Xenopus tropicalis: one gene and its partners. The protein of the gene in region 1 interacts with the protein of each later gene in a pairwise test. Links are inferred from orthologs where the notes say so. Each region holds a gene or a part of one and is shown in the gene's direction. Other genes may lie near its edges. The genes, in order: sumo1, topors, atf2, zcchc7 and sall1.

Evidence for each region.
Region 2: the proteins of sumo1 (region 1) and topors interact in a two-hybrid assay, tested with the Homo sapiens proteins (2 studies listed by BioGRID). The link is inferred for Xenopus tropicalis from reciprocal best matches to the Homo sapiens genes SUMO1 and TOPORS.
Region 3: the proteins of sumo1 (region 1) and atf2 interact in binary tests that used the Homo sapiens proteins (3 or more experiments, as listed by UniProt). The two-hybrid records come from large-scale screens. The link is inferred for Xenopus tropicalis from reciprocal best matches to the Homo sapiens genes SUMO1 and ATF2.
Region 4: the proteins of sumo1 (region 1) and zcchc7 interact in binary tests that used the Homo sapiens proteins (3 or more experiments, as listed by UniProt). The link is inferred for Xenopus tropicalis from reciprocal best matches to the Homo sapiens genes SUMO1 and ZCCHC7.
Region 5: the proteins of sumo1 (region 1) and sall1 interact in a two-hybrid assay, tested with the Homo sapiens proteins (2 studies listed by BioGRID, with this or other methods). The link is inferred for Xenopus tropicalis from reciprocal best matches to the Homo sapiens genes SUMO1 and SALL1.

The regions. Positions count from the first base shown.
Region 1 is NC_030685.2:52,313,274-52,317,332, reverse strand, and holds the start of sumo1 (small ubiquitin-related modifier 1 precursor), read left to right. Parts: upstream 1-1,237; 5' UTR 1,238-1,341; coding exon 1,342-1,353; intron 1,354-4,059. UniProt on the Homo sapiens protein: Ubiquitin-like protein that can be covalently attached to proteins as a monomer or a lysine-linked polymer.
Region 2 is NC_030677.2:115,117,235-115,119,431, reverse strand, and holds part of topors (E3 ubiquitin-protein ligase Topors), read left to right. Parts: coding exon 1-2,159; 3' UTR 2,160-2,197. UniProt on the Homo sapiens protein: Functions as an E3 ubiquitin-protein ligase and as an E3 SUMO1-protein ligase. Probable tumor suppressor involved in cell growth, cell proliferation and apoptosis that regulates p53/TP53 stability through ubiquitin-dependent degradation.
Region 3 is NC_030685.2:64,415,396-64,419,597, reverse strand, and holds the start of atf2 (cyclic AMP-dependent transcription factor ATF-2), read left to right. Parts: upstream 1-1,400; 5' UTR 1,401-1,557; intron 1,558-4,202. UniProt on the Homo sapiens protein: Transcriptional activator which regulates the transcription of various genes, including those involved in anti-apoptosis, cell growth, and DNA damage response.
Region 4 is NC_030677.2:109,181,021-109,183,504, reverse strand, and holds the end of zcchc7 (zinc finger CCHC domain-containing protein 7), read left to right. Parts: coding exon 1-333; 3' UTR 334-1,980; downstream 1,981-2,484.
Region 5 is NC_030680.2:50,892,656-50,896,178, forward strand, and holds part of sall1 (sal-like protein 1), read left to right. Parts: intron 1-627; coding exon 628-3,523. UniProt on the Homo sapiens protein: Transcriptional repressor involved in organogenesis. Plays an essential role in ureteric bud invasion during kidney development.

The DNA.
Region 1 (4,059 bases):
TATTATAACAAGGAGTTAGCGCTAAAAAAATATACCACCAAGTGTAAAAATTCTATAATATTTTAATCAATCATTAAATCAATACAAAAAGATACAAGTCATAAGTTAAAAGATACAATAGGATATAGTGATAATCAAAAACAGTTCGTTAAAACTAAAATGTTGGCCCTATTAGTTCATTAAAAAAGTGAACTAGGATAAATGAGGATGGTACAATAAATACGTGCATAAATAGTCATTTAAAAAGCTAAACGTATTTATTGTACCATCCTCATTTATCCTAGTTCACTTTTTTAATGAACTAATAGGGCCAACAATTTAGTTTTAACGAACTGTTTTTGATTATCACTATATCCTATTGTATCTTTTAACTTATGACTTGTATCTTTTTGTATTGATTTAATGATTAATTAAAATATTATAGAATTTTTACACTTGGTGGTATATTTTTTTAGCGCTAACTCCTTGTTATAATATTTATATATTCACTGTGAGGATTAGTTTGGAGGAAGGAGGCTATTTATGATATTCTATTCACTATTTGGGTAAGAGGATTGTTGTTGGGTAATTTAATTTGTTTTTTAGAATAATATTAGTCTTTCACGAACTACACATAAATTTATTAGAAGCGCGGGTAAGGTTTATTCACACAATTTTGATAATTATGTCTATTCTCCACCCACCCTATGCCTCGGTATCTGTTATTTAGTCTCTTCCCAATGTGTCCTCTAATATAGAGGCATCAGGGGCTCTCAAGGGATCAGATTGACAAGATAAGATAACCAATTTTTTTTTCATATAAGCAATTGTCTGTAATTTGGCTCATTCATTTAACCAGTTTATATAAACATTTGTGGTCAATTTCAATCATGCGACGCAACCAAAAAGGTTAAGAATCACCTACTAAAACGTCAAAAGCCACGTAAAGCCAGGTAAAGCCAATCTACTATGTAACGGGGCCTTTTAATGATGTGAGGCTGGCAGTGCCAAAGCCATTAGACGCCTACTATTAATGCTCGGCTTTGGAGAGGTTAATGCTCTATACAGAAAAAACACTGGATATCAATGGTTAAAGGCTGACGTTCGCATTACAATATGGACACAAAAGCGCCACCTAGTGCTCAGCGTCTGTGCAAGCGCATACCCCTACCATTTGCCGCAAGCCGCAGCAGTGCGCGTCAGCAAAATGTGGGCGGTGCCGCATGTATCGGAAATGAGGTCATTCCCAAGAACCGGAACACCTTCCTTGTCTGGTTCTCTTGTGCTGTTATTGTGCCCGGAGGAAGGAAAAGCGTAGAGCGGTCCAGTGTAGCGAACCGATACCGGCCGAGAGCAGTTAGCATGTCTGATCAGGTGAGACACTTTTGTGGAGTGGGCGGGAGAACGAGAGAAAGTCTCTGGGACGTGTGTGTCTTGTTTTGTGTGTCTGGAGACCTGCTTGTAGATGTAAACAAGTAGGTCTCATGGCTACACATTAATATGCAGCTAAAGTAGTACATGCGGCCCATAACCAAGGGCGGCAGCTAAGTCATTTACTTTCATTTTATACGACACTTAGACTATTAGAGCTGGTTGCTATGGGTTTCTGCTGCTGTGCACTTTTGCTGGATAAACTGCTCTATAGGACCCACACCCCGTTGTGTGTCGTGTAATTTGCTTTATGTCTTATTGTCCAGTATGTGTATCTTCTCCTGTAGATGTTATTATCTGTGAGTAATTGCCCAGTGGTGGTTGGCGAAGTGAGAGGCCTAACAGGAAAGCCAGAGATATATTGGCCCATATAGTTATTTGACCTATATAAAGTATATATTAACCTAACAAGTTTCAGCAGCTTTAGCCTTATGGGGTCTCACACAGCATTGATTTGTTACAGTAGGGTAAATCTGTTAGCCTGGAAGAGCTCAAAGCATTTCAGAACTATCAGGTACATAAATTAAGTCTATTTATGAGCATCCACTAAGTGTTTGTAGATACATTATTATGTTTGGTTGAAAATATAACAATCGCGTTTAACCCTTCCAAACAAACACCGCTGCACACGTATACACATGTTAATTTAATTGTAGTGGTAATTCCCATTACCCAGGGGAGGTATCATGTTAAGCTGTGTGTAGGTATGTGGGAGTTAACGATTGATCTCTTGTAGTACACTCTGCTTGTTTATATTGTATGTAATGTTCAAGCACATCTTGTTTTCTTGCATGACTTTCATAGTTTAGGATCCCAATCTTATCTTTAATGCAGCCACCTAAAGGGTGACGGTTTAAACATTCAAGTGGACTACAGGCCAAAATGATTAGATCCCTGTGATGTTGGGCAGTACCAGCTAGTCCTGTCACTTCAAACTTTGCTGATGCCGCATTCATGTGGGCATGGGGACCACTGGGAGCCCCAAATTTCTGTCTGGCCCAATTAAGTGCACTTTCAATGGTGCGACGGATTAAATACCAGTGATGCACGCAGATGTTTCTGTTGAAAGCTGTTTTTCCCATTATTGGTATTTATTGCCTTACATTTAGGGCAACATTGCGTACATGCATTTGTGTCAAATGTATATCACTCTGTTATTTTGTATCTCAGTCTGTGGGTATGTGTGAACAAGTATTCCCATTTCATCATACACCTCTAAAATAGTGTCTGAAAAGTTGCTTTTTGTACAGCTTTACTGAAAAAAAATTTAAATACTTTGCTAGCACCATTGAGCAATTCCATTCACTGCTGGGTGCTTTTCCAAGATGTGCAGAAGAGTTAGTAGGGCTCCTAAATTATCTCTGCAAGTGTAATTTCAGTCTCTAACTTCCGCGCAGTTAGTTGTGTGTAAAACCACTTTCATTTGAGGTACGTAAGTGAAAATGCGCTTCTTAAAGGACAAGGAAAGTCGAAATCTATTAAGCACACTATTAAATAGTACTACTATTGCTGTGTAAAAACGCTATATTTCTGGCTTGCCCAATGAAATATTTACAGAGATACACATACTAGAACTTACATACTTGTTTCAGTGAACGGCGCCGCCATCTTGTCCAGCATGTCTGTATGGGCTATTGCTGAAAAGCACAAGCCAGCCCCCCTCCGATCCCCTCACCTGCCACAAACCCTCCACCGCTCCCCGCTTCTGCCACAACCCCCCCCCGCTTCTGCCACAACCCCCCCCCCGCTTCTGCCACAACCCCCCCCCGCTCCTGCCACAACCCCCCCCGCTCCTGCCACAACCCCCCCCTGCTCCTGCCACAACCCCCCCCTGCTCCTGCCACAACCCCCCCCTGCTCCTGCCACAACCCCCCCCCGCTCCTGCCACAACCCCCCCCCCCCTGCTCCTGTCACAAACCCTCCGCCGCTTCCCACTCCTGCCACAAACCCCCCGCCGCTCCTCCCACCTGCCGGCTCTGCATGTCACAAATGCAGATGCATCACTGCATATCAACTCCCCCGGCTCCCCGCTCCTGCCACAAACCCTCTGCCGCTCCCCCCACCTGCCAGGTCTGAATGTCACAGAGCAGAGTTCTCCTGTCGGCTGCGTCGCCATGGCAACCAGACGCTCCTGCTGTGTGCGCATGCGCTGCCTACAGTCCCAAGTTGCCAAGTCTGGGCAGGAGCGTTGCATTATGGGAATCTTCTCTACCCTGCTCAGCGTTTTTTTTTCCTGTTTGGCTTCTGATCTTCTGAACAGGTGAAGTATGGGGAGACTTAAGGGCACTATTGAGTCAACTGAAGGTATGCCTGCAGTTTGGGATTAACTCTTTATTAGCCTTTCCTTCTCCTTTAAACTTTAATGTAGGTGTGCTTGGCACAGCTCAGTCCTTCCTGTCTTGTGAACTAAGGCACAACACAATTGCACCAAGCACATTGACTCTTGCAACTGCAAAGATGCTGGAATTCTGGGAAAAATATTGCATTGTGGAAAAAACTAGGCGATTGCAGTTAAAATTGCACATGCAGATGTATAGGTACCCTGGTGTCTCATCAGTTTTCATTGTAGGATGTAAATCAATTGGCAGCTAGGCCGAGTTTGTGAAAGGCCACAAAGACCTTCCCTAGAGAAGCAGCATCTCTCTGTCA
Region 2 (2,197 bases), on another chromosome or scaffold:
CTTTTTTGCTTCACCGCACAGACCATTTCATACATGAGTTTGTTAACTTTGCCCGATGCCCTTACAATATTGAAGCATATGATCAGCATGCAAACTATGATTGTCCTGCTCCTTCATATGAGGAAGGAAGCCGTTCAGAGTCATCTGTCATCACAATATCGCCAGATGAAGCAGATACCAGAGATCCAATTATTCCTTCTGCTGGTCCTGGTGTTGGCCAGACAGCTTGGGATGATGAGACCCCTGGTCCCTCTTATTCCACACTTGAGCAAGCCTCAGTTGCTGTATCCACTACACTAGATATCTCAGAAAGCTCAGACGATGAGCCACCCAGCATAAGACAGACTTCACAAGAAGTTTCCAACAGTGAACCCACAGAAAACCTGCAGGATCAGTCCTTTCCAACTGATGACTGTGTTATAGTAGGGTATGTTAAACCACTGGCAGAAAGAACTCCAGAATTAGTTGAATTGTCATCCGACTCCGAGAGCTCATTGAGTGAGGTTAAGACAGAAGATGCCAAAAAGCCTACGATTAAACCATTTTTCCTAAGTGACAGTAGTGAATTGAGCAGGTCATCATCATCTTTGTACACACCTGCAAAAGAAAAACGTTCACGCAAAACCAAGGGAAAAACCACATCTAGCAAACATTCCCATTCCAGGAAAAAAGAGAAGGGAAAATGTCGACTTGATTTAACTTCTAGAAAGGATAAGGGGGATTTGAACAGTAATTATGCTTTGTCCAGATGGAGGGATAGGTCAAGGAGTTCTGATTGTTATTCTCGTTCTTCTCGCAATAAAAGCCACAACAGTCGAAGGAGGCATTGCAGCAAAAATAATTTGAAACCCAGGAGTCCTGAAAAGAGCAGGCATAAAAGTAGGAAAGGAAGGAAGAAATCTAGTAGTAGGGATCGAAGTCTGTCTTGGAGGAGTAGGACTGTGTCACTAACTAGTGAAAGCTCCAGAGAGAGATGCGAGTCAAGCTCTAGAAGCCGAAATCGAAGTAGGGGTAGGTCACGAAGTCATGATAGTGACAATGATTTTTCTTCCAACAACTATCGCAGTTCTTATCAATGGGAATATACCTATTACAGTCGAAATCGGGATAGAGATGGCTATGAACAGTCCTACAGGAGACGGACTTGTGGTCGAGGACGTTATTCAAGACCCTCTGCTAGCCCAGAATATAAAATTCAGTCTTACTCTGAAAAGAAAGATACAAGAAAGGAGAGGGGATACATTGCTAGTAAACAATATCGCCGTGAGCGATACAGGTCAAGGAGTCGCTCAAGCAGTCAGATGAATACATCAGGGACTGAGCATACCAGATCTGACAAACCAAGTGGAAAAAGAAAATACAAAACACACCATTTGGAAAAGCAGGAAAGGGAAGGGAACAATCGAGAAGTTCCTTCTGCCAAAGAAAAAGAGGGAGGTCTGCAAGCAGGCAAGACTTCTCTTGGCAATCATACTGGTAGTCTCAAAAATGATTTAATGGGTTCATCCTCTGAACCTAAGCAGAAGTTAAGAAAAAAGGCAAGAAGCCCAAGTGTGGAAATAGTATATGAGGGCAAAGCAGTTGAAGGGGCAAAGCACCACAAAAAGAAGAAGAAAAAGAAGCACAAGAAAAAACGACGCAGGGAACACACTAATTCTCCAGCTGCTTCTCCCATCATTATCACCATTGACAGTGACAGTGACACCCCAATGGTGGAGGATCTCCCATGCAATGACCACAGCTCCCTGGTACCTGAAAACAAAACTAGTATTGACTCAACTAACTTCATGCACAGCCAGTCGCCACCTACCTCGACCACAGTAAGTACCACAGAAGTACTAAGTGGAGAAAGGGCAGACTCTGATTCCAAAGCCTCTGATTTATGTTCAAGTAACAGGCACTTAGATGCTGCCACTGGAATACTGGATGGTTTACATTTTGATGATAGCTCTGATGAACAGAATCTGCTCCCTGTACAAAGTCCTCCTAACATACCGGATCTCTGTGAAGTAGAACCTTTAGCAGCTGAGAGTTCCTTGCCAGAGTCTGATCCTATACTGGACAATGTACCACCTACATCAACTTCAGAAATATCTGAACTTCATAAAAGCTTTGCTGAGAGTATATTTGACTTTGATCTCTTAAACAATGTAACATAGCACCAGTTTCCTGTTAAGACTGTTGGACAGGAGACCGC
Region 3 (4,202 bases), about 12 Mb from region 1:
ATGCTATATGTGTCCTAAAGGCACTCTCAGGAAGGAGGGGAGTTATTTATATCATAGGATATTCTAGATTCTTTGCAGCATTTCATGTGTAACTCTGCCTTAGCTGTGGAGTTGAAGTAATGGTCAGCAGCCTATATAGGAACACGTTTTACAGAGTCCTCCATTCACATGTCCTTTGACTTCTAGTTCAAAGTGTTTGGGTTTCACATAGAGCTCTGCCATAAAATTTCTGCAGCCCTGACTAACTACTGTTACTGAACAACAGATAACATTTTGCCAACTAAGGTGGATCATGCTGTCAGTACAACATAAACTTTAAGATTTGATTGACAGAAAAGCATTCCAGGACAAGCTTCGCCTGAACGCAACAGAAAGCACCTATACCTACACCTACTTAGCCCTGAGCAGGGTTCAGCCCTTCTAGGTGGTATGTTTGTAAACACTGGAAGCTTGAAGCTCTGAGAGCCCCATGGCCCTGGTTGCCACTGTGGGACTGAGTGTGGAAGACAGGCAAAATACCAATGTCAGTGACCACTCTGCCTGTCTTTCCCCTGTAACATGGTGCTGAATTAGGGCAGACTGAATAAGTATGGGAAACTGGGTTCTTGCTGGTGCTTAATGACCAGCAAGGGAAGCCACCTAACCAATCCTGAGCCTTTCCTGGGCTGGTCTGGTTACCAAGGCAGCAGCATCTTCCTCCTGCACATAGAGCTGTGGACCAGAGCTGCTTGCCTCTCACAGCCTTAAATCAGTGCACCAGTTGTCTCACTGTGTTCCAAATGCATATTGCTCTTACCTTTAAATCATATACATATATACCATATATATTCCCTTGCTGTGTGAACTATGCAAGCATCCTGATATTTGTCATTTTTATCCCTGTCTTTATCAAAAAAATGTTGCCACTGTCTCTTTACTAAACATTAAGGAGTCACTCCATGTCCATTCAGACTTAAACAAGTGACCTTTTACAGTGTTTATGTCACCATAACACAAATCTGTGTGTGAAATTAATACTGTGACAGAATCTTCAATAAACAAAAAAACACTAAAATGATGGCAATTTCACTTGACCCTGGTTTGAACAAAACCCCTTTCCCTTTTAGTCAGACTGCGATATGAGGCTCTAAGGGTGTCAGGTACTGCTGCAACCAGGAAACGTAATTTTATGTTTGCTGGCACAAGTCTGAACTTTGATCCGGGAATAGAAATGACTTTTTATATTAGGAGCTGAAGTGGTGAAGGGAATATCAGTCAACCAACAAGAAAAAAAAAGTGTTTTTATTTAAGTATTTTTTTATTCGTTCGTTAACAAAGGAAGGCAGTGCGATCAGAAAAAAACCAGATTGAGAGTTGACCTAACACGACTTCCTAGCAGCCACCGACTGCGTACAACTCAGTTACGCCCACTCATCCCTCCCACAAGCGGCTGCGTAATGCGTCACTGCGCTTGCGTAGAGTCGTGACGCCAGTCTCGCGTGAGGAGACGCGGTGTTGGGCTTTTCTGTGGGACTGGGAAGCTGCTGGGAGCCTGCACTTGACAGCTTATCGGGAGGTGTAAGTAGCGTTGTGGGACTGCGGGCTGTGTTAGGAAAGGCTGGACTGTTGGGCAGAATGCACTTACATGGATTCCCGGGCCCCCCTGCTGTCAGTGAGCTGCAGACTTGGAAAGGGAGGGCGGGAGCTATGGTGCCTGGATGTTATTTACGCTGCTGCTGCTTGTTTTGTCACAGAGGTTCAAGTCCCTGTAAAGCCATTGTGGCTCTTCCGAAGTCTGCGGCTCACTGACAGCAAGGGTCCGATAATCCAAGTAAGAGCAGCACTGCCAACCCCCCTTAATTCCCAAACCCACTGGGTCTGGGACTGCCCCCCCCCCCCATGGGGGCCCTGTCTGTAAACCACAAAACAACACCACCTCAGGAGATCTTAAACACAACAAATCCCTCACCTATAGAAAGAATCCTACCAAGATTTCTGGGGGTGGTGTAAGTTGTAGTTCCACAATGTGTGGGGTGCATGACTGCCCAAGTATCCTAATATAAGCCCTTGGGTGCAATGTCATGGAGACTGGCCTTCACCTAATGGCATCCTTGCACTACAGTACATTCCTGAGAGGTTCCTATGGGCTCCTAGTGGGTGCAGCATTCTGCACCTTTGCTCTAATCCTGTTTGTTGTATCATTAGCCACTTCATTCCTTTTGTAAGAGCTTGCATGGATATCTTGACTCGATTTTCATGTGACCGATTGGATACAGTTTTACAATGAAACATGTTTTCCCTGTAATAATCAAATGTGATTGAGTTAAATGAAAATCGCATACAGTTTCAGCCGAATTTCGGGAGATTTGTGTTGGAAATTTCTGTATAGCTAGCCATAAACAGAAATAGTAAAACGAGATTTAACTTGTTTGGATTCCTGGCCATGCTGCCTGCCATTGACTTGAATGGTGCTAGTGGTAGGTGTATTTTGGTTCTGTGTTTTTGGGCTATGAAATAAAAACACAACAAGGGGTATCGTATCTTAAATCACCTTGTGCCCCTTTACTGTTGTTCTTGTTGGTTGGGAAATGCTTTAATGAGCAGGAGTAGTGTTTGGGGGGGGATTGAATCTGAAACAATCTTATATAAGATAAGAATGGGAACTGTCAAGCTTTCAGTCATATTTAGGGGAGCAAATGGTAATTCACCCCAATTCTCACCCTAACTGACCTTCAAACTGAGCCACCCTCACTACTGCCTCAAGCCCCCCCCAGAAAGGCCGGGTTCCATAGTATGTGAACCACTGCTATAAGGTATCACTGGGTCGGGGAAAGGAATATAAAGAAAAGAAAGAATAATAACTTGCGTCTTTCAAAGTGATTATAACATGGATTGCTGTGTTTGTATGCACGTATTGCTGTGACTATTAGGGCTGAACTACATAGAGAGATTTTGTTGGATATGGTGATTGCAAACAATCACATCTTATAAGTCTTATGTAGTTGTGCGGGTCTGTCAGTGGTGCAGCTGGTATAAAAGTGGAAATGCTGAGCTTTTATCTGACAAGTAGTCGGACAGACTTTTTCTCATTGAAATACACTGACATATGCAGATACATGAAAACAAGAACCCATCTGACTTTGAGAATCTGGTTTTGTAACATCCCACATAATTTAAACATTTTTAGAAAGGTCTTTTCAGTACATATTTGACAGCATACTGGTCTACTTTATATAGGGTTAGTTCACTGTTAAACTCTTTCATGTAGACAGGAATATACTGAGGCAATCTGAAATTGGTCTTCAGTTTTTTCCATCACTACTTTAATTTGGAATTTCAGCAGCTATCTGGTTGGTAGAATCCAATTTGCCCTAATAACCAGGCAGTGGTTTGAATGAGAGACTTGGATATGAAAAGGAGAGTGCTCAAAAAGATACTGTATATACTCGAGTATAAGCCGATCCGAATATAAGCCGAGGTACCTAATTTTACCTAAGAAAACTGGAAAAATTTATTGACTCGAGTATAAGCCGAGGGAAATGCAGCCGCTACTGCAAGTTGAAGTGATATCACCCCCCTCCCAGCAGCTAATTAGCAGAACAATGTGAAAGCATCAAGATAGCAGCTCCCAGTATATATCAGAATAGTACGCAATAGTAAGAAATCCAAGTGCGGCTTGGGATTCCCCCAGTTACATGGGAGTAGGAGAAACAATAGGTTACCTGAAAGCAGTCCTAATGTGTAGCGCTGGCTCCTTGTGAAAGCTCAGACTCAGGCACACTTTACTGCTGCGCTGCAAGTTGGAGTGATATCCCCCCTCACTCCCAGCAGCCAGCAGAACAGTGGGAAGGGAGCAAGATAGCAGCTCCCAGTAGGTATCAGAATAGCACTCAATAGTAAGAAATCCAAGTCCGGCTTGGGACTCCTCCAGTTACATGGGAGTAGGAGAAACAATAGGTTAGCTGAAAGCAGTTCTAATGTGTAGCGCTGGCTGAAAGCTCAGACTCGGGTACAATGCACTGAGATGGCGCCTACACACCAATATTACAACCAAAAAATACATTTGTTGGTTCAAGAATACAATTTTATTTGCTATGTAAACAGTGTAATTTAGATCTAAAACTATACCATAAAAATCAGTATTCCTTTAAAATTTACTTTGGGTTGTGTTAGAAAGTGCTTGGCAGCATCTATTACACAAACTCCAGCCTGGGTCTCCCACT
Region 4 (2,484 bases), on another chromosome or scaffold:
AAGAAACGTCCTAGTAAAAAAAAGAAGCAGGGTACCCTCATGGATGAAGAATGTGCAGAGACAAAGCAAACGAAGAAGCGTAAGAAAAAAAGATCTGGCCTTCAAGAAACAGAGGAGGATTTCCCCCGTGGACGCCCCAATGATTACTTAAAGTATAAAAAATCTTCAAAGAAGCATGATGGCAGCAACCTGTTCAAGGAAGACAAGAAAAATTTGCTTAAAAAAGGCTGGAGGAAGAAACATAAGGGCAAAAAGGGAGACAGTTGTGCTGTTGACCAGGACTTGCTCATAATTAAACAGAAGAAAAAGAATTCAAAGAAAAGGGTTGACTAGTCACAAAGCAGCACTGCATGAACAGATGTAATTGGATATTATAATACCTTCCATATACTGGAACCATAATCTGCAGGAACACAACATATTGTGGAGATCCCTGTTTCTCCAGATCTAAGTTAATATCACATATAACAAGCCTTTGAGCTGATAATTTAAAGAAACTATATAAATTTTTTATTAATGTATTTTATATATGGGTATGGATTCTTAATATTGTACTACGAGCAACCACCTTATAATAAGGGACTCAGTGTTTTACAGTGTATATGCTGCTTCTCTATTCATTCACAAATACACACATAACATACATTGTTTTACAACTCATTGTACGGGTTTGGTTTCAGTAGCAAGGAAGAATTTCTTTTCTTTTCTTGCCAAACTTCACCTAATCACAGTTTTGCTTTAGATGTGCTTATAAGGTGGTTTCAGTAGAGTGGCAAATACGGCTAAGCTGCTGAAAACTGTACAGTATCTGTACATTCAAATACATCCGGTTCTGATAGGAACATTTTTCAGTGTGTATCAGTGAGCTCTTTTGAAGGATCAATTCATCTGTCCCTTTAAAAGAGAATGGTATAATTGGGAAACATTTATATGGTCCCAGGAAAATTTGTTCAGTATTTTTATATACCGTATGTACTGTAACCTTATGTACTTTAGAACGTTTAAAACAAATACTTATTTTAGCAGTTAGATTTAGGGATACAAGTGCCAAGGGGGCCAAGTTCTGTGTATTCCTATATTCTTAGATTCATCATGACCTGTTTCTTTACATACTATGCTTTAGAAAGGTGCAGATAGTTGTTGGTTTTGCATACATTTACCTAGGTCTAGCTTTTTGAGGTTAAAAATCATCTTTGGTTCTTAAAGGGAAATTTAAAGAATAAGTAAATGAACTTAAAAGAATACGTAAGCCTTTTTTTAATCTCTAAAATTGCTCTGAATAGTGCCCTGAATAACATCTTTTCTCCCTGCATTCAGTTTCATGTCATTTCTAAATTACAAGTTGAAAATTGCAGCTCATTTCAGCTACTTCCTGGTCTACAATGAAGCTCTGCCCCCTTTTCTTTTCTGAGCTCTCCTTGTCTCTTTGAGCATGATGGTTAGATAGGTGCCTACTGTGCGTGCCTGATTGCTTTTTATTGAAGCAGAGGCAGCAAGCATGCACGGCAGACACCGTTTTGACTGTTTACAGTCAGACAGAGCAGGAAAGCTCAGAGAAGCAAAGGGGCGGAGCTTCACAATAGACTAGGAAGTAGCTAAGAGAGCTGAAGTTGAGCTGTTAGTGATACAAAATCTGCTGGGAGAAAAGGTATGTTCTTCTGGGAGCTTTTGTGAGTATTTTGGGGGATTTTAAAGTCAAAAGGCTTGCGTAACCTTTAAGTACACCCCAAATAAGTATGCAGATTTTTTATTGGTTTTCTGTGTTGTTTTCATCCTGCAGATACTTGTCTTCAAAACACCTCCTTACATTGTTTGTGCCATTGAAATAATACAAATTGTATTGCAGATGTTAAACATTTGAGTCTTGAGGAGATTATTAGTCCCTAACACTTAAAATGGCCACACATTATATTTCATGTTGATATTAAAGCAATGCAATTAATTGTATCTCAAGAAATAAATAAAATCTTCCATGTGCAACTCTTTAGAAAGTTTGTGTAAAGTGAGCAAGGTGGATTGTCCAGTCACTTACTGAATAAAGAATCACTGTACAGGTATGGGACTTGGGGTTTTCCTGATAACTGGTTATTCAGTCATTTGGATCTTCATACCTTGTCTAATCATATAAACATTAATTGAACCCAGTAGGATTATTTTACCTCCAATAAGAATTAATTATATATTAGTTGGGATTAAGTATACAATGGAGTCTATGGGAGATGGCCTTCCTATAATTCATAACTTTCTGGATAATGGGTTTCCAGATCCCATACTAGTACTAAGTTCTAAAGGTTATTTATTCATAATCTAGATCAGTGCTGTCCAACTGAATTAATTAAAGGGTTTTTCTGTTAAATGAATGCCATATAAAGTGTTTAATACAGCCCTTAGCTGGAGTTTTTTGGGTTCAAGTCCAGCCCACAGTCCACTTGGACAGATATGTTCTAGATCAGTGCTGTAGTATCAAGGGCCAGAATTTTTGTG
Region 5 (3,523 bases), on another chromosome or scaffold:
AGTAAACTATTTTCCTTTCACTAGGCTAGTTGTCAGTTAAACTTTGTATATCGTGCACATGTTTTTTTCCCTTTCAAACCTTTTTTTATATAGTTTGATCAGTTTAAGTTAGTGTGATTGGTATAGTTTTCTTTAGTTGTGTCAGCATAGGTTGATTGGTATCTAAATGATTCCCAAGTAGACAGGGCAAGCTGTCAAGTATATTGGAGGCTACTGAAAATGAACAAGGATGACAAGAACTGGAACGTTTAATGAGTGCTTTAAATTGTTGATTTGCGCCTAGCGGGCAACTAGACAATAAGGAGCATGAAATATTGGAAATCAATATTTTCTATGGAATTTCATTATTGCCAAATGTCTGCTGTTCATAGTATTTTATATTTTGATGGATCATCTAATGGAAATGATTATTGTTAGACACCAGCACTGATGGTTTCCTCGCTAATTTTTTAGATTAAATTATTACTAAAAAATTGACCTGATCTCAATGTTTTCTATTTATTTATTTTTTGTGTGTCGTTTCTTCAGTTGCATTTTATATGAATGACAGCAGCTGCAGAAAGATAGAAAAATAAGTTTGGTTATAAAAATAAATGTAATGTATGTCTGAATTTCTCGCCCCTATAGGAAACACAGAGAGGGGTCAAATCCATCGGACGCCCAAGAACAAGGAGGCGCATGTCTGTAGCAGATGTTGTGCAGAGTTCTTTGAACTATCAGATTTGTTGCAGCACAAGAAGAACTGCACTAAAAATCAATTGGTTCTAATTGTGAATGAAAATCCACCACCTCCCGCTGAAGCCAGCTCTCCTATTCCCCCCTCGGATAATCCTGATGAGCACATGAATGACACAGTTAATAACTCAGATCAAGCAGACTGCAGTGACCTTTCAGAGCATGGTGAGCACGGCAAGCCTGACAAAGAAGAATCCATGGAGGTGGAGTTTTCGGAAACTAACAATAGCAGCAGTGGTTCTAACAAAGTGGACAATGGTGATTCAAGCAGTAATAATCCCACATTGGGTACCTCAGCTATCACAACTTCGCTACCTCAAGTAAGGGATCTGACAGCCTTGGGCAACTTCTCTATGATCAACAGCAATGTCATCATTGAGAACCTTCAGAGCACTAGAGTGGCAGTGGCACAATTCTCCCAAGAAGCCAAAACTAAGGGGGCAGCAAACAATAAGCTGGCAGTGCCTGCACTCATGGAACAGCTCTTGGCTTTACAGCAACAACAGATTCACCAGTTGCATCTGATTGAACAAATCCGTCACCAAATATTACTGTTGGCATCACAGAGTGCAGACATGCCCACTTCAGCTAGTGGCCCTCAAGGGGCTTTAAGAGTATCTGCCACTCCACTGACTACTCTGAGTTCCCATTTGTCCCAGCAGCTGGCTGCAGCAGCTGGCTTAGCACAAAGTCTTGCTAGCCAATCCGCGAGCATCAGTGGTATGAAGCAACTACCACCCATACAGCTACCTCAGAGCAATCCTGTTAACACAGTTCCATCCATCAGTAGTTCCTCTCCAAATATGAATGCATTGGCATCCACAGTTACTTCACCCTCCTCAGACAAAGTACCTTCAAGCACCGGTGGCTCACAGGTCAGTAACCCACCAGCACCTGTAACGTCATCACCAGCTTTTGCAATAAGTAGTTTATTAAGTCCTGCATCCAATCCACTACTACCTCAGCCTGCCCCTAACACCACACCTTTCCCTGGCACATTGCCCAGCATAGGAACAACAGCAGAGGATTTAAACTCACTGAGGAAAAGTAAGCCACCCAGCGTGACTGCTTTTGAAACTAAGAGTACATCTGATGAGGCATTCTTTAAACACAAGTGTAGATTCTGTGCTAAGGTTTTTGGCAGTGACAGTGCCTTGCAGATCCATCTACGTTCTCACACCGGCGAGAGACCATTTAAATGCAACATTTGTGGAAACAGGTTTTCCACCAAAGGGAATCTTAAAGTTCATTTTCAGCGTCACAAAGAGAAATATCCCCATATTCAGATGAATCCATATCCAGTGCCGGAACATTTAGACAATATTCCTACAAGCACCGGTATTCCATATGGGATGTCTATCCCACCAGAAAAACCTGTAACAAACTGGCTGGACACTAAACCAGTTTTACCTACCTTAACAACATCAGTGGGTATGCCTCTCCCACCAACAATTCCCACCTTGACTTCATTTATAAAAACTGAAGAGCCACAACCTATAGCTATTAGTCATCCCACTGCCAGCCCACCTGATTCAGTAAAAAGTGAGACCGCTACAGAGCCACTTTTAAAAAAAACTAGTGATCTTCCAGATGAGGCTGAGGCTGCGATGCCCATTCTAGACAAGGAGGAACAGCAGTCTCAAAATTCAGATTGCATCCAAAATCTTAATACTTCTGCCTGCTCTCCCACAACTGGCTCTGGCATCTCGGCCTCATTTCCAAATCCACTTTTGCCTCTAATGTCAGAGCAATTTAAAGCAAAATTTCCATTTGGAGGACTTTTGGACGTGGCACCTGCATCAGAGACTTCAAAACTTCAACAGCTTGTAGAGAATATTGACAAAAAGTCAAGTGACCCAAATGAGTGTGTTATTTGTCGCAGAGTCCTGAGTTGCCAGAGTGCTCTAAAAATGCATTATAGGACACATACTGGAGAACGACCATTTAAATGCAAAATTTGTGGTCGTGCTTTTACAACTAAAGGTAACTTAAAGACTCATTACAGTGTCCATCGTGCCATGCCACCTCTTAGAGTTCAGCATTCATGCCCAATTTGTCAAAAGAAATTTACAAATGCTGTTGTACTTCAACAGCATATTAGGATGCATATGGGAGGGCAGATTCCTAATACTCCTATTGCTGAAAGCTATCCTGACTCCATGGAATCAGATACTGGGTCCTTTGATGAGAAAACTATTGATGATCTAGACAATTTCTCAGATGAAAACATGGAAGATTGTCCAGACAGCAGTGTCCCAGACACCCCTAAATCTGTTGATGCATCTCAAGACAGCCTTTCTTCTTCCCCACTGCCGCCTGAAGTTTCAAGTATCACTGCTTTAGAGAATCAAATGAAATTAATTAATGCTGGACTTGCTGAACAGCTCCAAGCCAGTCTAAAGTCAACTGAAAATGGGTCTATTGAGGGTGATGGTATGACCAATGACTCCTCATCTCTTGGTGGTGACATGGAAAGCCAAAGTGCTGGAAGCCCTGCTGCCTCTGAATCGACTTACTCCATGCATGCTTTGTCTCCTTCCAATAGCACAAATGACTATCTGAAATCACCCAACACAGATGAGAAGATTCATCGAGCTCTGTCTCTTGACCCAACCAGTGGACTGTCCCCTACACCTGCTAATGGAGGGGCTTTGGACTTGACATCTAGCAACACAGATAAAGTGATCAAAGATGAACATTTAGGTGTGCTATTTCCTTTCCGAGAACGGGGTAAATATAAAAACACTATATGTGATATTTGTGGCAAAACCTTTGCATGTCAGAGTGC